3 linked regions of the Drosophila melanogaster genome follow. The protein of the gene in region 1 interacts with the protein of each later gene in a pairwise test. Each region holds a gene or a part of one and is shown in the gene's direction. Other genes may lie near its edges.

Region 1 (6,911 bases):
ATTTCGTTTAATAAATTTAAATAAAAAAAAAGATATATATATGAAACATTTTTTAAATGTCATTTTGCATGTAAGCCACCACAACGAAAAATCTAATTAGAAATAAATAAAAGTGTTACAAATTGGAAGTGATTACAATACTATCGATTGTACTGCTTTGAAGTCTCTAGTTGTCTTTCCCCCATCTGGTCACACTTGCCATCTGATTTCTTCGATTCGCCTAACTTTAAGCGTGCTTGGATTTGTGCCGATTCCTATTGATTTATTTTGCCGAGCTAAGAAAATCTCTGTTTAATTGCGACACGCGATGGCTTCGATTAGCTTGCTGAACCCCAAGGCCGAGTTTGCCCGCGCCGCCCAGGCTCTGGCCATCAATATCAGTGCCGCCAAGGGACTGCAGGATGTGATGCGCACCAATTTGGGACCCAAGGGCACCGTTAAGATGTAAGTTACTAAAACCGGCCTCTAATATCCCTCACTTTGCGTTCCATTAGCAATTTGAGTGAGAATGCTAGTTTATAGGCGAAAAAACAAACGTTTTGGTCACAGCTGCGGCAACTGCAAGTTTGAGGTTAGACTGGAACTAGCGGCATGCGTCATCGCAAAAGAAAGAAAGAGAATGTTGCAACTCTGGAGCAAAAAGCTTAGAATTTAGGTGTTTTTATTTAATTTCAAAAAGAATCTTAAATGAAAGATGCCCCCAGAGGCTTTAATTTATTCATAAATGTGTGTTTACCTGCATATCCAGCACCGGGTGATTCAGAAAGTGGCATCGAAAGAGGCGTGACTTGACTCACGCGCCGTGAAAAGTGAAACAAGCATACTAATTCTAGAAACTTCGCAGGTTGGTTTCTGGCGCCGGCGACATCAAGATCACCAAGGATGGCAATGTCCTGCTGCACGAAATGCAGATCCAACATCCGACTGCCTCTATGATTGCCAGGGCCAGCACGGCCCAGGATGATTCCACCGGCGATGGAACCACCACCACTGTGATGCTTATTGGCGAGCTCCTGAAGCAGGCCGATATCTATCTGTCCGAGGGACTGCATCCTCGCATCATGACCGATGGATTCGAGAAGGCACGCGACAAGGCATTGGAGGTGCTCGACCAGGTCAAGGTGCCCGTGGAGATCAACAAGAAGAACCTGGTGGAGGTGGCCAACACAAGTCTGAAGACCAAGGTGCATCCCGCCCTTGCCGATCTGCTTACGGACGTCTGCGTGAATGCCGTGCTGACCATTGCCAGTGCCGATAAGACCAAGCCCGTGGACCTCCACATGGTGGAGCTGATGGAGATGCAGCACAAATCCGATACCGATACACAGCTGGTGCGTGGACTAGTCATGGACCATGGTGCTCGCCACCCGGACATGCCGAAGCGTTTGGAGAATGCCTACATCCTTACGGCCAATGTCTCGCTGGAGTACGAGAAGGCCGAGGTCAACTCTGGCTTCTTCTACAAGACCGCCGAGGAGCGTGAGGCCTTTGTGCGCGCCGAGCGCGAATTCATCGACCAGCGTGTGAAGAAGGTGATCGAATTGAAGCGCTCCGTGTGCGATGGCACCGACAAAACCTTCGTCCTGATCAACCAGAAGGGCATCGACCCCATCTCGCTGGACGCCCTGGCCAAGGAGGGCATCCTGGCCTTGCGTCGCGCCAAGCGCCGCAACATGGAGCGTCTGTCTTTGGCCTGCGGTGGCACTGCAATGAACTCCTTTGACGATCTGCAGGAGGAGCACTTGGGATACGCCGGTGTGGTGTACGAGCATGTTCTGGGCGAGAACAAGTACACTTTCGTTGAGGACTGCAAGAACCCGCTGTCCGTCACGATCCTGATCAAGGGTCCCAACAAGCACACGATCACCCAGATCAAGGACGCCATCAGGGACGGTCTGCGTGCCATCAACAACACCATTGCCGATAAGGCTCTGGTGCCCGGAGCTGGAGCATTCGAGGTGCGCGCGTACAACGAGCTGGTCGCCTTCAAGGACACCATCAAGGGCAAGTCCCGCCTGGCAGTGCAGGCCTTTGCCGATGCCCTGCTGGTCATTCCCAAGACGCTGGCCGTGAACAGCGGCTACGATGCCCAGGACACAATCGTCAAGCTGACTGTTGAGGATCGCCTGAGTCCCGAACTGGTCGGCCTGGATCTGGCCACCGGGGAGCCCATGAAGCCCGTGGATCTGGGCGTCTACGACAACTACATCGTTAAGAAGCAGATCCTCAACTCCTGTTCGATCATTGCCAGCAACCTGCTTCTCGTCGACGAGGTGATGCGTGCGGGCATGACGAGCCTCAAGGGCTAGTCCCCATCATTTCATCCGACCCATTCAATTTAACCAAGTTAATGCACCGCATGCTACTCAACCCGCGTCTCTCAAAGCCACACACAACCAAAAGAAAACTAAACACGTAAATAATTTGGAAACACATGAAATCGGAATGGTTGCGGCTGCAAGTATTCACATTTAAAATACAATTCTAATAAATACAAAAACCAAACACAGCTCTATGCTTAACGCTAATGTATTTTCTATTTTTATTAACACTAATGTTTACTCACTACAAACTTTCATTGGTTTAAAAATAAATGGAAATAGCGATTTAGCCGTGACTCAAACCTCAATATGGGCGGTAATTGGGGAATACCCACAACTACATTTTTTGGGGCCACATGGTATATTTGAAGAGTCCACTGGGTGGTCACACCGCAGTCAACAGTTGTCGCTTTCGCTGGAAAGCAGCTGAAAACAAGTGAATTTCTGAATTAAAAACATTTTCAAACATGTTTTCGGTTACTTGTGTGGCGCCCGTAAACATAGCGCTCATCAAATATTGTGGGTAAATTAATACATATATTATAAGCACATAAACTTATGCACATGCATTCCTTTAAAGGGGGAAAGCGGCACGAAGAGCTAATTCTGCCCGTCAATGATTCCATTAGCATGACTCTGAGCACCGATGAGGTAAATATGAAAGATATTTAAATATTTATTTGCGTTTTAAAACCAACAAATTGTAATTAAAAAATTAAAAAACCTTAGACGCTTTTAATAATGGTTTAAGTTTAAAGTGCGCGTAGTCGAAGTTTTCATTTTCTCACAAATGTAAATATTACGAAAACTTTCTATTTAATTTGGGAAGATCTCACGGATTTTCACTTTTCACCGATTCTCTCTCTTTCGATTTGTGTGGACACTGAATTTGCTTAAGATTAAAATGAAATTACTAACTTAAAAAAAATGGGTTTTTGAATATGGGTTGTTCGAAATCCTGTAATTTCTAACTTATTTTTTGAAATAGCAATCTATCGAGACTTTTAAAATCTTGAACAATTACCTTTCTTGATCCCATCTCCCAAGCTCTGCGCCAAGACAACAGTGACTGCATCGGAATCCTTTGAAACGAATCGCATGTGGCTGAATGGGGAGGAGGTGCCTTTTGAAGAGAGTTCCCGCCTGCAGCGCTGTTTGAATGAAGGCGAGTTTATAGTTATATATATAAAAGTATAGAACTTTAATGTAAAAAATGCACTTGCAGTTCATCGATTGGCTGTGGCGAGTGGCTCCCAGAAGGTTCCGCCAACCTGGAAGCTGCACATCGCATCGGTAAACAATTTCCCCACCGCCGCCGGACTGGCATCCAGTGCAGCTGGCTACGCCTGCCTGGTGTACTCCCTGTCCCGACTCTACGATATACCGCTGAATGAGGAGCTGACGACGGTGGCGCGGCAAGGAAGTGGATCGGCATGTCGCAGTCTGTATGGCGGTTTTGTGCAGTGGCATCGCGGAGCTCTGGATGATGGCAGCGATTCGGTGGCGAGGCAAATAGCTCCATCCGACCACTGGCCCAACATGCATGTGCTCATCCTGGTCGTTAACGATGCACGCAAGAAGACTGCCTCGACAAGGGGCATGCAACAGGCGGTGAAGACGTCTCAGTTGATCAAACATCGCGTGGATCAAGTGGTTCCCGACCGGATTATCCGATTGAGGGAGGCCATCGCAAGCCATGACTTTCAGGCATTCGCCGAGATAACGATGAAGGACTCGAATCAGTTCCATGCCATCGCCCTGGACACCTATCCGCCGTGTGTCTACATGAACGATGTGTCGCACAGTATCGTGTCCTTCGTTCACGATTATAACGAACGAATGGGTAGCTATCATGCCGCGTACACCTTCGATGCTGGTCCAAATGCATGCCTCTATGTCCTGGCGGAGCACGTTCCGCATCTCTTGAGCGCTATCCAAAAGGTGTTCCCCAATGATTTAGCGGATGGTGGCACCTACTTGCGAGGCCTTCCCATTCCAAAAGTGCAAGATGCTGAGAGCAGCAAGTTGGATTCACTAGATGTTCATGCTAAAAATGCTTTCAGATATATAATCCACACGAAAGTCGGTGAAGGACCAAAAGAATTAAGCGCTGATAATAGTTTATTGATAAATGGACTTCCGCTGAAGTGATGAGAGTGATTTTGAGAGTGAATTGCATAGGGAAAGGCACAGAAATTCTATAAAGGAAATATTTTTTAGAATATATTTATGCGAAAATACATTTATCAAAATGTACAATGGGGCACAATGTATAAACATTTAAAATGCGCACGATTATTCATTATTACGTGACTAAATTTGAATATCTCAATTGCAACAACTTAATTTATTCTCTTTATTTATTTTTACCTTATTTATTTATGAATTCCGGTGAACAAATGATTGGCTATTTTTAAATAAAATTATGAAAAACGGAAATCAATTCTAATTGCAATTTTAGCTAACCTTGGTTTATACATTTATTTTGCATTTGTATTTATGCTATTTATAGAAAATCAACAAAATACGCTTTGTAAACACGAACTTCTTTCATTTCGATTTTGAATGCTTTTTGTGGGGTCGCAGTGCAAACATTTGTTTGAATAGAATAATTTATCGTTTTGAAATATGTTTATTTATGCACATACATTTAATTGCTTTGTGCAAAGTAAACAGCGGCGGCTTTAGAAAATTCTGAACTGAAAATTTTTTGTATTGCTTTAGCATATTGATGTTATTTTAGCTAAATTTTTACAAAAAAATTGACAAAAAATGAATCCTTAAAAAATGGTTCGCATTTGTAATATTCTGTGCAAACAGTCATTATTTTAGGTTTGCGACCAACTTGTGATAAAAAAAAACCGCCCAAAAGAGTATAGTAAAACAACCATTTCAACATTCTACGTTTTCTTTGCCTTGCTAAGAAAATATTTATTATTATTATTATATTATTATTTTTTTTTTTTTGATATGGTATATGGCAGACTTCAGTTTAAAGTTTACATTTTAAAAGTGAGCGAAGCACTGCTATTTATTTTTATACATTTGTATATGTAGTAGATATTAGATACGTTGTAATCCATTTTTGCACAAATTACGTGAATTATGTATAAATAAGCAACAAATGAAGAGCGTAACAATTAGTAAATAAATCTTTGCAGTTGCACTGAGTTTATACTCCTTATTAAATAATTAAAAATAAGTACATTGTATGGTCATGGTATTATAAAGGTTAACATATTTATAAGGTAAGATTGTGGTTTCCTGGTTTCCAGCATAAAATAAAATGCAGCTCATGTAAATCCCCTCATGGGTACGGGTACACATAATCAAAATTAGTTTTTACACAACGATTATTTTCAGATTTCCTAATTCTCCTTATTAATTGTATCTACCGACGAATGCAAGAAATAGTTGCGAACTCCACGAACTTCATCGCACTCAAATTCTAATGGTGCGGCTTCAAATGTTCCACATAGTTCTCCGGAATGAGTCCTGTTTTCCCATTTAGTGTGCCCTGCAGCCAGCCGGGTTCGTGGGAGTAACGAACTGTAAGCGGTGAAATCATTGTAAATAACAAATCTTCCACTCATGCTCTCAAAACTCACCATTGGTTATTATTTGGTTGGGCTCGAAAGAAAGCTCGCCCTCGCTTTCTCCCATGCAAGCATAGAGTGTGCGCACACGACTGTAAGTAAGCAACAGGTTTTAGGCGATTAAGTTGCAATTAGAACCAATAGTAAATTATATACTCACGCGGTGCCCGTTGACAAATCACGTTTTATTTGGTTGACGTCACGATTACGATGCATTTTACTAGGCGGATATTCGGTGCTTTCGCTGGCGGTGCCACCACAGCTTAAACTAACCGAGGGCAATGTTGTGGCCGTGACGACCTCGTCGCAGGTGGGTCCAAGATGCGGCGACAGCGATGAATTCTGTGACGATATCAGCGCATAGTCATTAGTGTTCCGTGCGCTCAAGTGCTGGGCAACATTCCCACTGTTGCCACTATTGGCCACAATGGAGCTGCCCAGGCCGTTGTTGGAAGATAGTGAATCACATACGCTGTCGTTGGAGCTGGATGTTGACGTTGGCATTAGGGGTGAATAGTGTTTTGTCTGGCCGTACGAGTGCAGACCCCGTTGAACGGGCGGATGCTGCTGCGGACCACTGGCGCTGCCCAGGAATCGCTCCTTGCGCATTGCAGTATTTGGCGGGGATACATTGCTTAGACTAATCCGATTGCTTGAGTTAGCACCAGCACTAGATGTGTTCGTATATATATGGCTACTTGAGCCCGATTGAGTAACTGGATTGGCCGTGGTCATTAGGTACTCGGGATGTCGAAAGTTACTCGTGCTACTAACCGGCACAGCGTGATGCGATTGCAGCGTCACACCGCCGTTGTTAGCACCTATAATACCATAATCGGGCGCAATCTCAGTGTCGGGCACGTATCGTCGTGTGCTGGTCTCATTTTTCGATATTGTGTGCAGATTATTGATGCTACCAATGGTCGGCGAGAGTATGCCGTTCAGCATGTGCATCGGCGGCGACAGGGATATGCATTGAGCACCGCCCGAGCTA
Region 2 (5,726 bases), on another chromosome or scaffold:
GGGGATAATTAAGTAATTTATAAATATACATTTAAAAGAGAAAGAAAAATCACGGTGACACAAACTGTGAAGAAACCCAGGCCAATCCCCATTTCAGGTTGGTTAGCATGAATTTCAGTGCCTTGGTCCACTGCTCCTCCGAGTTAAACTGGATTCTGTAAGGAAACCATCATTATTATAGGTAAAATCTTTACCATTTCTAAACCTACTTAATAGAATAGGAATTTCCCGTGGAGGGATCGATGATCTTGCCCTTCTCCATCTTGTAGGGCAGCAGGAACTCGGTGTCGCGCTTCTCGACCTCCTTCTGGAACTGGGTAAGACAGTCGAGAAAAGCTACCATGGCAGCATCAAACTTGGTGTCCCAGAAAAACTTAAATCCGCCGCTGCCATAAAGCGGGAGCTCTCGATTCTCGCCGAGCACCTCAACATACGAATGATTTCCAAAGGGTACTACACGATACCGCTCGAAGGTGAGCCCTATCTTACGAGCAAGCGCAGAGAGCAGAAGCACCGTCTGGCCCCAAGCGGCGTTGATCTCTGACCAGTCCACGGATACAGAGGGCAATCGACCCAGCCTAAAGTTATTAATGGTACCGAAATGCCCGGCATGCCAGATGTGAAAGGTGATGTTGAATATGTTGGTGTCGCGCAGTTTGTCCAGCTGCTGTTTCGAGTAGGCGATCTGACACTCCAGACTTCGTTTGTCATCCTCGGTGAGCATTAGCTCACGCCTGTGCTTGGTATACTCGCGCCAGTAGCTTTCCTCCTGCTCGTGCAGCTCCTCTCGCTCCTGTTCCTCCTCGGCAATGGCATCATTTAGCGATTGTTCCTCCTTTTTGAGCTCTTTTAGCTCCGACAGAAGCTGTTGCTCGCTGCGCTTTAGTTCGTCGAGCTCCTTGTCCAGGGCCTCAACGTTGGGTGCTACACGCTGTTGCTCTAGTTCATCCAAATAAGCCTTGTACACATCCCACTCGTCCTCAGCGATGCGCAGTTCCCTGTCCATGATTTCCAGCATGGAGTCGGCACACTCTTCGCACAGCGGATGGTCAATCTCAGAGTTGGAGGAGAGGCAGTCAAACAGCTCCGCTTTCAGCTTAAAAGCAGCACTCATTTTCTTGTTGTCCCTGCCATCGGAAACCAGCATAAAACCAGTGCCATTTATAGAGTCCGTAAGCCTGTAGGGCGGCACAAAGTGGTCGAAGCTGCTGGCGTCCTGCGGGTCCAATGTATTGCCATTGTCTCCGTAGATGGGCACTGAAAAAGTGATTTATTAGACTAATTTCCAGAGTGTATCACCCATCATCACCTACAAGATAACTCCGCCATTGCGTGCACGCTAATCTTCTCCAGCTGCTCGTCCAGGACGATGGGCTGCAGGCAGCGCTGACAGGCGAAGGACACCGCCTGCTTTTCCGCCTCACTCATTGTCGTTCCTGTTTGTTGTCCTTCGATTTTTGCATACAATTAAATCTTTCACCGAGTGTAAAAACACAAATAATCCATCAGCTGTTTGCAACTGCTACCAGAGTTGCCACCCCCTCCGAAAAAGAGTGTGGAAAAATGGCGCAGTTAATCGGACAGTAAATCGTCAACCAACAACAACCTGAGACAGTAAAAAAGAGAGAAATAACAGAAAACCAGTTTTAAACAATAACATTGCCTAATTGTGTCCGCCGGAGATGCTTAAGCGTGCCGCGAAGCTGCAGGCCTTGACCACAATTCCCGCTGATAAGAGAGAACTCAAGGGGTTGGCTTTTGGTTTGTTTTGGTAAGCGACAGAACATTAGACGGAGTGCCGTCGCCAGTGCTGCCAACCTATTTTAGCTATAGCAAATATTTCATAGTAGCAAAGAGGTAGAACCCAAATACAATTTTTATAAATAATAGTTTATAGTTAGCGAACGGACTAAAAGAGAAACCTGATATCGAACGACTTATTATATTTTTTGTTAACTCAATTTTAAACTTACTCCAGCGTAAACCATACTTTATAAATAGTTTACCAAAAATGATAGCACAAGTGCCAGAAAGCTATTCACTTCATTTTTAATTTGATTAGGTAAATTGTGCGAAGGAAGTATTTAAAAAAATGTGAAATGACGTACTAAGCACCCCACATATAGACTAAGAATTAAAGGTTAAGGACATTGACTTTCGCAATCTTTGTATTGTAGTTAAGCCACAAGCATTGATAAGCAAAGAAATTGTAAGAGTGAAATAAAATCATAATAAGATGAATTAATTAAAGTAGAGAAACTGATAAAGACTTGCACTTGAAGCTGACACATGTGTTTAATAACTATATAATTGCTAAGGGAAATTTTGTTTTTGAAAAGTTTCCGTTATCAAGCTCGAAATTTCTAGCAATGGGGCAGCACGAAATTTGCCGCTGTAAATCTAGCTTTCAAAACCTGGCAGCACTGTCGGTGGTCACATTGTAGCCTCTTCGCATTTGACGACCCATGGAAAACTTTCAGTCTCTTGCAGGCAGCACAGCGATACGGAAGCAACAATTGAAACGTCCAGAACTCCTCCTCCCACGAGTATTTAAATTCTGACACAAGAGTGCCTGAACCAAAATCCCACTCACCGAATGCTGGTGCTTTGATTTGCAACTGTTCCTAGGTTCCGGCTGAATCCCTAGATTTGCGGATCTACGCAACTCATTCACTCAAAAGCCAGCCGAATTTATCGCGCCAGATTAAACAAACAGAAACAAAAAACAGAAGCCGAGACCAGTTCCACATCGTGCCATTTTTATCTGGGCATATAGGCAGACGTGATTACGTGATTAGTGCGGCTGGGGCTGCCGTTTATCAATAGCGAGAGCAACAATGGTTTCCTACTTCGTACCTCGTGGCCGCTTCCTGCTGAAGGCCGGCAATCTCAGACAGGTGGTGCAGCAGCAGCATCAGCCGGCCCAGCTACAGCTGCAGCCCATTAAAGGACCACAGCCGCAGGCTCAGAATGCCAGTCTGCCGGTGGCCCGTCACTTGCGCCAATTCTCCTCGAATCCAGCCTCCAAGGAGGCACCATTACACCACCGGCGCCCGCAACATAAACAACAACCGAATCCTAGTCAGGAGTTAGCTCAGATTCGGCGCAATATACTCTCACGGTGGACGGGCTTCCTGTTGCGTTGGGCTCCCATGGGCATCTGTGTGTTTGGCGCCATCGAGTGGCAGTTGCAGAAGAACCGCTGCGAAAAGGAAGGAAAACCTCGGACAGCGTCCGAGCTCCAGTCGCGCATTTACTGCTCCCTGCCACTGCGCATAATCAGCCGTTGCTGGGGCTGGCTGGCCGCTTGCTACTTGCCTCCCAGTCTGCGTCCCTACGTCTACGGATGGTATTCCAACACGTTTGATGTTAATTTGAGCGAGGCCATGTATCCGGAGTATGAGCACTACAATAGTCTGGCTGAGTTCTTTACCAGGCCACTTAAGGAGGGCGTTCGTGTCATCGATCAGCAGGCTCCACTGGTCTCCCCCGCCGACGGTAAGGTTCTACATTTTGGCAGCGCCTCGGACTCGCTAATAGAGCAGGTCAAGGGTGTTAGCTACAGTATCGAGGACTTCCTTGGCCCGCTGGAGACTGTGGAGCAGGCAAATTCCGGTGCCTCCTATGCCCAGGCCCTCAAAAAGAAGAGCGATGGTTCTACGGAGCTGTACCAGTGCGTGATATATCTGGCTCCCGGAGATTACCATCGATTCCACTCTCCTACCGCTTGGAAGCCCACCATTCGTCGTCACTTCTCCGGCGAACTGCTGTCCGTGAGCCCCAAAGTTGCCGGCTGGCTGCCTGGTCTGTTTTGCCTCAACGAACGTGTGCTGTACATGGGCCAGTGGAAGCACGGATTCTTCTCCTACACCGCCGTGGGTGCCACAAACGTGGGATCCGTCGAAATCTACATGGATGCCGATCTGAAGACGAACCGTTGGACTGGATTCAATGTCGGCAAGCATCCGCCCAGCACCTACGAGTACGATGAACTGGTCTTGAACAAAGAACTAACAGAAGCGCCCAAGGAATTCGGCAAGGGGGATCTGGTGGGCCAGTTCAATATGGGCAGCACCATAGTCCTGCTCTTCGAGGCGCCAAAGAATTTCAAATTTGATATTATCGCCGGTCAGAAGATCCGCGTTGGCGAGTCCCTCGGCCACATCGTCGGCTCCAAATGAAAATGGGAGCCACAATTATGTACCGAATCAGTGCAAAGTCCTGTCCCCCAACTGCTCAGATCACTTGTTGTATTAGCATTAGACGCTCGTGTCCTAGGCAAATGTATTTTGTGAACATCCTGCGAAGCTAACTCTGTGTATTGTTGCCATTTCAGTAGTTTTAAGCTATATTTTATACAATAAACGTCGAATTATATTTGAGAACAACAACAGACCATCCATCAATTAACTCATTCAGGCACGCGCTTCTGAAGTAGAACACCGATTGTTGAGGTGGGGCGTTATCAGGGAACGTTTTGATAAGAGATACCAGGCTGAAACGCAGTCGTTGAACCCCTCGTTGCTGAGGATTCAGAAAGACTAAGTCTGTGTCTGTAGCCAGCTTATCGGGCCAAATAACGCTCCGGGGGTCCACACTCACCTCCTTTTGCGGAGTCCACGCTATCAGTGAACCTGAAAATGAAGCAAAACCTTTTTGGGCTAGACAAGCGCGTGCCGCTGCCGACGACAAGATGACAAGTCGTCTATGCCTTGCGCCACCCAGTGTTTACTTTAGCGCAGAATCCGGGATCGCAATCCATTCCGTTTAATTAATTCAATCAAGCCCGGACGCCGGGAATCTTGTTCGTTGAACTTATCAGGCGGTGACGGGTGATTTGGTTCCTGGCCTTGACACACACACTCCACGAAGTCCGTGAGTGTTAATTATTCGCCATGGCAACCGATTTGATTGCAAATCGAGCATCGGCTTAAGGGCAATCACTAAGGGAACTTCGAATATGGCGCCAACAGTGCTGTAAATGTTTAAATAAAAGTATAAGTCGTGGAATTGCCACTCTTTAAAGCTATTCGTTGTGAAAAAAAAACATAAGGAACTTTTATTTTGGCATATCACGCCATATTCTTATCAAATAATTTTTTTTCGGTTTAATTTTAAAAATTCGCGCCAACTCGATAAATGAACGTTCAGTTAAATTCACCTCATTGTACAAACGAGGTGAACTGTGTTAAACAGCTGACAGCCGGCATTCATTTGTTGTTCTCTGTGATTTTACGTAATATTGGTATTTATTCTGAATATAATTGTTTATAAAGCACATTAAAATGATGATGCGACACTGTATGATGGCCTTGAGGGTCGCTAGATCCCAGATCCCGTTCAGCACTGCCAGGAATACTCAGAGCAATCTCCTCCAACGTTTTTACAGCCAGGCTCCTCAAATTGGAATCGTGGACTACGACGTGGTCAAGAAACTACCCAGCGAACCACAGAAACTGCTCATCGATGTCCGGGAGCCGGAAGAGCTGAAGGAAACCGGACAAATCCCCGCCAGCATCAACATCCCTCTGGGCGTGGTTAGTCAGGAATTGGCGGCCAGTGAGCAGCTTTTTAAATCCAAATATGGCCGGGAAAAACCGAAGCCAGAAACGGAGATTATATTCCACTGCAAGATTGGCAAAAGAAGCCTTAAGGCTGCAGAAGCTGCCGCCGCATTGGGATTCAAGAATGTAAAGAACTACCAGGGATCTTGGCTGGATTGGGCC
Region 3 (9,281 bases), on another chromosome or scaffold:
GAACATTCGCTCCGATCAAACTACCTGCGAACGGTCACCTAATCCCCACCATGGTAGGTTACCTCTGATCCCGGTCATCACTGGCGTTCGCTCACATCCGTCCTTACATGTGCATATTTCGAGGTTAAAACGGTCGAAGCTTTCAATGATTTTTTCTCCTTGCAGTACAGAATAGCTGCCCTTGTGCGGGATCGCGCCTGTCTCTTCACGTGCCAGCAGGCCTCGCAGAACCTGCAGCAGCAGCAGGTTAGAGTTTGGCTCATAAAACCCCATGGCGCAACCGGCCTAAGTCATGACTTTACTCCGCAGCCCCGCTTTTATAGTGCGCCAGGTCGCAGGGCCGGCTTCTTCTCGCAGTTCTTCGACAACATGAAGGCGGAGATGGATAAGAACAAGGAGATCAAGGACAATATCCGAAAGTTCCGTGAGGAGGCCCAGAAGCTGGAAGAATCGGATGCCCTGAAATCGGCGCGGCAAAAGTTTAACATTGTCGAATCGGAGGCGCAAAAGTCGTCTAGCATGCTAAAGGAGCAGCTGGGCGCCATCAAGGAGCGCGTAGGCGATGTTCTGGAGGACGCCAGCAAATCCCACCTGGCCAAAAAGGTTACCGAGGAGCTCTCGAAGAAGGCTAGGGGGGTCAGCGACACGATCTCCGACACCAGTGGCAAGCTGGGCCAGACCAGCGCATTCCAGGCTATCTCTAACACGACGACGACCATCAAGAAGGAGATGGACAGCGCGAGCATAGAGAATCGTGTCTATCGTGCTCCTGCCAAGTTGCGAAAGCGCGTCCAGCTCGTCATGAGCGATAGTGATCGCGTTGTGGAGCCCAACACGGAAGCCACTGGTGAGTCTCCATCTTTTTCCTTCAATAAGATCAAAGGTCATGGCCATAATGTAATGTTACTTTTCAGGTATGGAGCTGCACAAGGACTCCAAGTTCTACGAGTCGTGGGAGAACTTCAAGAACAACAATACCTACGTGAACAAGGTGCTTGACTGGAAGGTTAAATACGACGAGTCCGAGAACCCTGTTATTCGTGCCTCCCGCCTGCTGACCGATAAAGTGTCCGACGTCATGGGTGGACTCTTTTCAAAGACAGAGCTTTCGGAAACGATGACGGAGCTGGTGAAAATCGATCCGAGCTTTGATCAGAAGGATTTCCTCCGCGATTGCGAAACGGACATCATTCCAAATATTCTGGAATCGATTGTCCGTGGGGATCTGGAGATTCTGAAGGATTGGTGCTTTGAGAGCACTTTCAATATTATCGCAAATCCCATTAAGGAGGCTAAGAAGGCCGGCGTGTACCTGGACTCCAAGATCCTCGACATCGAGAACATTGAACTGGCAATGGGCAAGGTTATGGAGCAGGGCCCGGTACTGATTATCACGTTCCAAGCCCAGCAGATTATGTGCGTGCGGGACCAGAAGAGTCAGGTCGTCGAGGGAGATCCGGAGAAGGTGATGCGGGTTCACTACGTCTGGGTGCTGTGCCGCGACCGCAACGAACTCAACCCCAAGGCTGCCTGGCGGCTGATGGAGCTGTCCGCCAACAGCTCAGAGCAATTTGTTTAGCGCGCTGCCACGCCTTTCTTTTTTACCGAGCCGTTTAAGTTTCCCTCATTTTCTCATCCAAAAAACAAACGAAAAGATTACTGGACACTGAGCATTGACGACGAACTGACCACGAACTCGACCCGCAGGAATCTATTAAGTGTGTACAAAGGTTTCGCTTTCGATTGCTTTGAAAGTTTTGTCCGCCACTAGTCAACTGCGTCCGCCCGGCAGGGGCTGCTGGTCGGTCCCGTGAACGATTCCCCCACGAATTCCGGGCACAGCAGACTGCCGGCTCCGGCGCGGCTCATATCCCAAATGACGCCCCGGTTGGCCGTTCCTTGCGGCCACGCCCACCGCCGATCCACTTCCGGCTAGCACGGAAGGAGTGTTCGGTGCGGGGATTGGCCGTCGGGATCGTGGTTCCTCCGCTGGTGTCCTGGCCAAATCTATAACGTTGAAGCTTAAAGTGCAACCGCCGGTGTATAAGGCGTATAAGTAGTGACCATAAGCAAATTGTTGAGTGTAGTTGAGTTTAGGTATTTTAAGGCCCCAACCCTTTCCGACACCCCCCCCCCTCCCAATCCCCACCCCCTTCTCTTGTAAATATGGAATTCGCTCAGGGCGGCTTGGGCATCGTAAATTGACTGTACACACAGAATCCAAAGAGTTGTATGTACGTACACATCGAGCGCCACTCAGAATGTCTAGAAAAATAAAAATACTTCAATATTTTTACATGTACCATTTAAGCAGCTGGCGAATTCTTGTGAAATAAGTGTTATGTTTCCTTACCCTAATCACAGACATCCAAGTTTATGGTTGCCCCATGGATCGGGCATCCGTAAGCGCCACTTGCTACTAAGTGGGCAAAATAAAAAAAATCCAATACTTTTACATAATCCATTCGATTGGGTGTTTTTAAAACATGGAATGCTTTATTTTCCGATGACAGTTGTAAAACATTTTAATTTTACCTTGGTTAATAAGTAGTATAAACTTGCTGTTTTGAGGGAGAAAATAGTTTGTTGCTCAAATAAAAATGTTTGCAAATACCTAAGTAGTCATTGTTTTCTATGCATGTGATTCATGTATCTCAAAAACTTGAAAAATATTTTGATGTTTGTGACAAAAACAGTGATTATAAATTAGAGACATTTTTATTTGATGAATAATTAGCATAAAAAAGCCTATAAGTATTTGATTTTTTAATTCACAGAATTCATTCATGACCCACTTCGTTATTCAAAATAGCACATATCAGGAATAAAATGTACTGAATAATAATAATAATTTATACCTTTAACAATCGGTTAACGAGCAAGGTGGTAAAATCCGAGCAAAGTTAAGAATGCTAAGTAATTTCTTCGTTTCGAATACCCCCAACAGTAAGTCAATGTTACTGCCTCGATCGGTTAACAGAGAGTTAACAGAGTTGGGGTTAACTCGGCTGGCTCTCAGCTTGAGTTTGTCATTCCGCACGGAAAGCTCGTCGCGAACGCACGTAAAACTGGCAAGGCGGAGAAATATAACAAACATTTACAATTTGGCCCGCAGAATAAGCCGAACGAGCGCTTAATCATCGAAAAGTATCCAGCGATCGAGTGGCGCGTAACCTGTGCGTGAGTGATAAGGAGCTAATTGATAAAGGAAGTGACGACGGTGCCCGCATATCTACATAAATTCGCAATATGATGGCACTGCGGAAAACTTTGGTCTTCAACAGTGCGCTTCTGTTGGTTCTGCTGCTGGCGGAGTGTAAGTACCACGACAGATAAAAAGATATAACTACAGTGACAACGGGCGAAACAAGATAGATAGACACGCACACTCGATGTTTCCACTTCTGCAGCGAAACTAGTTTGCAGCGCAGCTGGATGGGATCGAGTTGGAGCGGCCACTTGGCTAGACAGCTAACAGTTTACGGTTCACCCTTTGCCTTAAGTGCCAGCCAAGATCGAAGACCATGTCCGGTTCGGGACGCCTTTATGGTGAAGCCCGCCCGGTTTACAGCGCATAAATATGGGGTTTTTATTGAATGGTTCGACCGCCCGCCGTCCCGTCGCAATGAATCGTCGTCCATCAAGGTCCCGCCAGGTCGCGAAATTAAATTGCAAGACTTTAATTCCATGGGGGAACTCCATCCATCCAGCTGGCTTCGCAGTGCAGATAAGATTTCGCCAGGCCTTTTGCGCTATATTGGTAAATGATCGCTACGCAGGAATTGTAAGCGAACAGTTGTGGTCAAAATAATAGGCGTTGTTGTATAAATCCTGCCAAGAGGGAACTATTCAGATGGATAATTGGGTTTCAGATTTCTTTTTTAAATCAATAAGTTCTAAAAGTACAATTTGTTGAAATGATAGTGGACATTCTAGCATTGGATTTTCATGTTGTATTTTTCATTTTTAAGCTTGAAAGCCAATTAATTTAATTACAATATAATCCTTAAAATTTCCTTACTATTACTACTATTACATAACCAACGAGATTACTTTATAACAAATGGCCAAATGACTGCCGTTCCTTCCTGCAGATTATGAGGTGTCAGAACTTTATGAGCTGGGTCTTAACTTATATTATTTGTCCTAAAGTTGTTAGCACCCGCAACTCAGTGATAAGAACTCTCCGGACTCTTTGACACTTGTCAAAAGTGGATCAAGTTTTCTTCGGCTGAAGGCTTTGGCCTATCGTCACGTACTCAATTCAAAACTGGGTGACTTACGAATGTCGAATGCAATAAATTGCAAGACATCATGGCTAAATCATGTGCTTTTTCGAATTTAATTGGCTTTTGTTTGTGGAATTTTTGGAAGCTCCACCAGCTAACGCGCGATTTTGACGCGATTCGTGAGCGGTTTATGCGAATCCCAAAGCGATCGGCATTGGCGAATCGTTTGTGGCATTAGAAATGTGTTTATTGTTTCAGTTCTGCTATATAGTATATATGTATGTATAAACGGACAGGTTTGCAAAAAAAAAAAACCATACGATTCAAACAAATCTTAAAGTGTACAGTGGCAGTGATTAAAGTAGGAATGGAATGGTTAAAGTTAGTTATTGAGTTTCGGAAAGTAAAACAGGCTGCTATTTACTTATTCCAATTTAAATAAATATATTAAAATATTTACATATATTTTATTGACGCCATCATTGCTATTTCATTGACCTCGTCTGTGCTAATTAATGCTGCTTTTTTGAGCCACAACACGCTTTTACTTTGTTTGCCAGAAAGCGTAACCCCAAATTCATTGTCTACTGATAATGCGGCGGTGGCAGCAAAACAAATTCGTATTGTCTGGGTCTGGTGTTTAGTTTTGAATAAAATCACAGTTGGCTGATAAGGAAACATATCTGCAATTTGGCTAAAAAGGTGCTAGTTGCGAAATCTCGGGGTAAAGGGTAAATATTTGCGCTTCCCCTGAAACCGAGAAGATCTGTGTTTTCTTATTCAGGTAGCCCGCTGTAAGCTGTAACCAAATACCGGCTAATTCAAGCGAATGCATTATCTCATTTCGGCTTAATTGCTTTCTCTTTTAGCCCAAGCCAAGCCCTCGCAGGATTTAAACAAACCGCAGACGAAGGAGCCAAGTGATCTGGGTGCAGGAGCTGGAGCAGCACGAGGAGTGCCGGTGGCTGCCAAAAATAAGACAGCTGTCGTGGAGGTGAGTTGGCCAAAACAAAACGCTGGGCATGGGTAACTGGGCCAGGCCAAAAGAGAGCCGGGCAACGGGGCAGAATGGTACAACGGGACAAAACCAAAACCAAAACCAAAACCAAAACCAAAACCAAAACCACTCCGACTGGAATCACTGACGCACTGACGCACTAAGTAACGAACGACCCAAGAAGCTGAAATACGAGCCAGGCCAAATGCATTACTGCATTTTGGGTTTATTTTTACCCAGAACCGGAAATTTACGCTTTAAAAATGTTTATTTACTTTTCACTTTGATTTAAATGCAAAAGCCAGCAGAAGACACGCGCAGCGTTCGCCTTTTAAGGGGCTCCGAAAGAAACGCTTATAAAGACAAAAATAAAAAAGCTCACGCACAGAAACTTTGCATAAAATTATAAAAAAAAAACTTGGTCTAGAGGGGGGGATACACAACGCCTTAGTCACGAAACTCCAATCGGTGGGGGGCATTATAATAGCGGGTGATAATACCCCAACCACACTTGGGTGAGTCACCATGGAATCGGATTCTAGGTAATCCCTCCGGCTGTCGTGACGTTTGAATGAATGAAGTTTAGAAAACCCCTTTGTATCCCCACAAGGGTAATCCCCAATCAGATTACGATTTTCCAGATCTCCCAACTCGATCGCTCGCTTGTCACCTTATTTTTTTTCTATCGTTAGTTGTTAACAAATCGGCCAATTACACGAGATGGAGCGGCTAAAAAAGCAAATGAGATTGAGACAGAGACAGTAAAACCAGTCACGTATTGTTACTGGCAATTACAAAAAGTTGGTATCTCGATCTCGACGGTCATCGGGGTCAGCAATCTACATATACATACAAAGGGCATTTGGGATACAAGATACTTACTATATAGTAAGTGAGAGTGATCTGTGGTAGTCAGCATTTGGCAAAACAACTTGGTTGCGGCAGTCATTAACATTCTTTATGGAAAAATAATATGGGTAACCAAACACACACATATTATGCAAGATAAGTTCGAGCGACCTTACTGATAACTTGGCTAGTTTAGACAGCTGGAAGTGAAACTAAACTGAGATGAAAGCCAATTTCCTTAGCTGTTTCGCTTGGATAATTGAGCCATAAGTAAGGTGAGTCTCTGCTTTAAGTGATGATTAATATGCGGAGACATTTGACTTACGCAAAGCCTCGAAATTTTCAGTTGTGACTCAGCGAGGCTTCCGATTTCCATGGATATATTTCAGTTTCAATTGTTAGACTCGGTTACCAAGTCAACACTATCTGGCTTAATAGAACACTCAGTTTTTTAATCGGACTGGTTTAAAACTTGTTGTTTAATAATAGGGGAAAGTAATGAGTCCATCCAAAACATTAGCATGTTTGTAAAGCAATTACAATTTGTATATGACTTTTTTTAATTTTCACTAAAATTTCTATTTGAAAGCCGGATTTTTAAAGCTACTTCATTCGTTTGCATAAGTAAAGATGATCTCAAGAAGCTATAAGGCACTTTAAAAAATATTAAACACGCCTTCACAATTCAGACACTTTTGCAACGCCCACTTTCAAATTTGTTGCCCAAATTCGGCATAGAACTCGCATAGAATCACGTGCCGTTTGAAAATCAATTACTCAGCCGACAGTGAAAGCCACATCGATGACACGAGCCTTTTTTTTGTATACACAGGGAAAAACAAATTGACGCAATTAAAGGCAATTTATAGATAAATATGAAAATATAACAAATAATTAGTGAATATACGTTAAATTCAGCTTAAACATGTTGATCGTTTAATTTTAAAGCTTGAATAATATATGCATGTTATACTAACTAAAATTGTATTTTATTTTAATCGCAGGATACTTCCGACGATTCCGACTCAGAGGCGGAATCGGAGGAGCAGCAGCGGCGGTCATATCCCCACCGCGACGAGGACCAACTGAACTCGGCCACCAATTTGGTTTTGGCACAGAACTACAAGTACGATGTGGAGATCCTGGAATCCGGCGATGCCGACCAAGACGACAGTAGCATGGATGACGTGGACGATCTGGAGGAGCGTTTCAAGGGACGCGGTGTGATCTTCAGCACGGACACCGAAACCTTCGCCAACGAGAACATCGAGATGAGCCCGCTGAACGTGCAGGCGGATGCGGTTAGCCAGGGACACGTGCTGCTCGGCATCGTGGTGGTGGCACTGGCCTTGGTCTCCATCGGCCTGTACGCCGGCCTGGTCATATGGCGCTCGCACCTGGAGTGAGTTCTATTGGCTAATTGCTCTAATTTTCAGAGTGCTAACTCATTTACCATCTCTTTTCACCATCATCAGGCAGCGGTATGGAATGCGCGAACGACTGGTCAATCACGACTTGGAGGATGAAGCGGCTGGTGTCGACGACGTCGATTATCAGGTCTATGCGCCAACCACGACGGCAGCTACGCCTAGGGCGTAGTCCGTTTCGAAATCTGGTCCGATTCGATTCGATCCGATACGACGGTGGGCTTCAATTGGACCTGGTTTCGGTTTAAAGTGCACACTCACCACACAATTCAGACGAGACGACGACGATGGCAATTCATTGCAGCCTCAGCTAGGATGGTGGTGGAGAGACGGTGCTCAATCGTCTAATGTATGCCATAAATTTCCACGACAAGCTGAAAAGCATTCCGCTTCCCAATTACACTCTAATGGCGTTGCTAAAGGTCACGCCGATTTCTAACAGCGCAGTTGACAAGACCAATTAGTTAGTAAGTTTCTGTGATATTGTTCTAGAGATTCTTTTGTACGTCCTTGCACTAACAATACGCATAGAACCCACGTTGCTAATCGATAATAAAAACTATATGTAAATGTAAATGAATATTTAACTTAGGCGTCTTTATTTTGTTGATGGTAAATTCCTGCAAGTTACCTCTTTCACAGCTGCTTAAGACTCTGTGGTTTTCAAAATACTGGAATTATTTAATGGATTATAAATGAATAAGCAATTTAAAAATAACCAAAACATGTTATCTGACTTGATTCATTTTGAGTTTTATTGGATATAAATCTTCACAAGCCTTGTTTACACTTAACACACTCAGGTAAGCCATTAAATTAAAAATAGCCACACAAAGAACGAGTTACACACCCAATAAAATGCAGTAGTATAAGGTATTTTTGGAGTTAACAATTACATTGCTTTTATTTGTTATGCATTTATTCTTTCTTAACCCTAAAATAAAAAAGGTTTCCCTTTAAAAATTGAAATAATTTGTTTTCGTACAGGTATTTATAGCTCAAATTTGAATTTGAATTAGGCGCGTTTTCTTAATTAACAACACTGAAATAATATCTAAAGCGCAGCCAACTTTGCTCAGATAGCTCATGGGTACCACAAGACTAAGAACTAGTTCACAAATATGAATATTCAACAAAAACACCTTCTGGCTGACAGATAACTAGGCAGAAGTGGTGGTCTTTCTTACTTATTAGCTAAATGAAACCTTTGTATAGCTTCCTTAGAACGATACATGAAAAACTTAATCTTGACAAGCAACAAGTTTGCTGCATGCGCCGGAACCAGTCAGCAATGCCTCCAATTCGTCCCTGTCCAACACTGCAATCAGCTGTTACCTGGCCAACGCGTTTTTTTTTTTTGGCCTGCACTTTGAACCCCGAGGTTTCGTGCGAATAAAGATACGGATTTGAGTGCGCCTGTCCACATTCCCGCTCGTCCCGCTCCGCCATCCATCGCTGCCTATCGCATTTTCGGTTCAGAATCCCGCGGACCTTGCTGCCGTGCACATCGCATCGCATTTCCACAGCTGCGTTTTTCAGCATTTTCGTTCGCTCTCTCTCTCTCCGGTTTTTCAGAGCGCTCCGTTCCGCTCTCCCGCTCGCGCGCGCTCCCCTTAACGGTTCCATTGATAAGCAGCGCCACCCGCAGCCCCTGCCCCGCCCCCCTGCCACGCATATTCCGCCCTTCGCATTTCGGAAACTGCAAAAAAAAACCAAACCAAAGCAAAGCAAAAGCAAATCAATCAATTAAGATAGTACGCCGAATAGTGCAGTGCGTGT

What was found.
Region 2: the proteins of Mvd (region 1) and Pisd interact in a two-hybrid assay, tested with the Drosophila melanogaster proteins (one large-scale study listed by BioGRID).
Region 3: the proteins of Mvd (region 1) and CG5835 interact in a two-hybrid assay, tested with the Drosophila melanogaster proteins (one large-scale study listed by BioGRID).

What each region holds. Positions count from the first base shown.
Region 1 is NC_004354.4:15,746,464-15,753,374, forward strand, and holds Mvd (mevalonate diphosphate decarboxylase), read left to right. Parts: upstream 1-2,702; 5' UTR 2,703-2,788; coding exon 2,789-2,840; intron 2,841-2,901; coding exon 2,902-2,972; intron 2,973-3,368; coding exon 3,369-3,486; intron 3,487-3,546; coding exon 3,547-4,472; 3' UTR 4,473-5,274; downstream 5,275-6,911. Other genes in the region: CCT6 (chaperonin containing TCP1 subunit 6), read left to right, coding at 308-444, 845-2,309; Graf (GTPase regulator associated with FAK), read right to left, coding at 5,770-5,870, 5,930-6,009, 6,078-6,911.
Region 2 is NT_033777.3:24,049,210-24,054,935, forward strand, and holds Pisd (phosphatidylserine decarboxylase), read left to right. Parts: upstream 1-1,573; 5' UTR 1,574-1,771; intron 1,772-2,471; exon of another isoform or gene 2,472-2,480; 5' UTR 2,481-2,837; coding exon 2,838-4,181; 3' UTR 4,182-4,383; downstream 4,384-5,726. Other genes in the region: Atg6 (Autophagy-related 6), read right to left, coding at 50-155, 210-1,257, 1,314-1,428; CG6000 (uncharacterized protein), read left to right, coding at 5,286-5,726.
Region 3 is NT_033777.3:19,147,431-19,156,711, reverse strand, and holds CG5835 (uncharacterized protein), read left to right. Parts: upstream 1-3,025; 5' UTR 3,026-3,249; coding exon 3,250-3,316; intron 3,317-5,098; coding exon 5,099-5,223; intron 5,224-7,079; coding exon 7,080-7,477; intron 7,478-7,528; exon of another isoform or gene 7,529-7,550; coding exon 7,551-7,674; 3' UTR 7,675-8,080; downstream 8,081-9,281. Other genes in the region: CG11779 (uncharacterized protein), read left to right, coding at 166-246, 310-847, 915-1,579.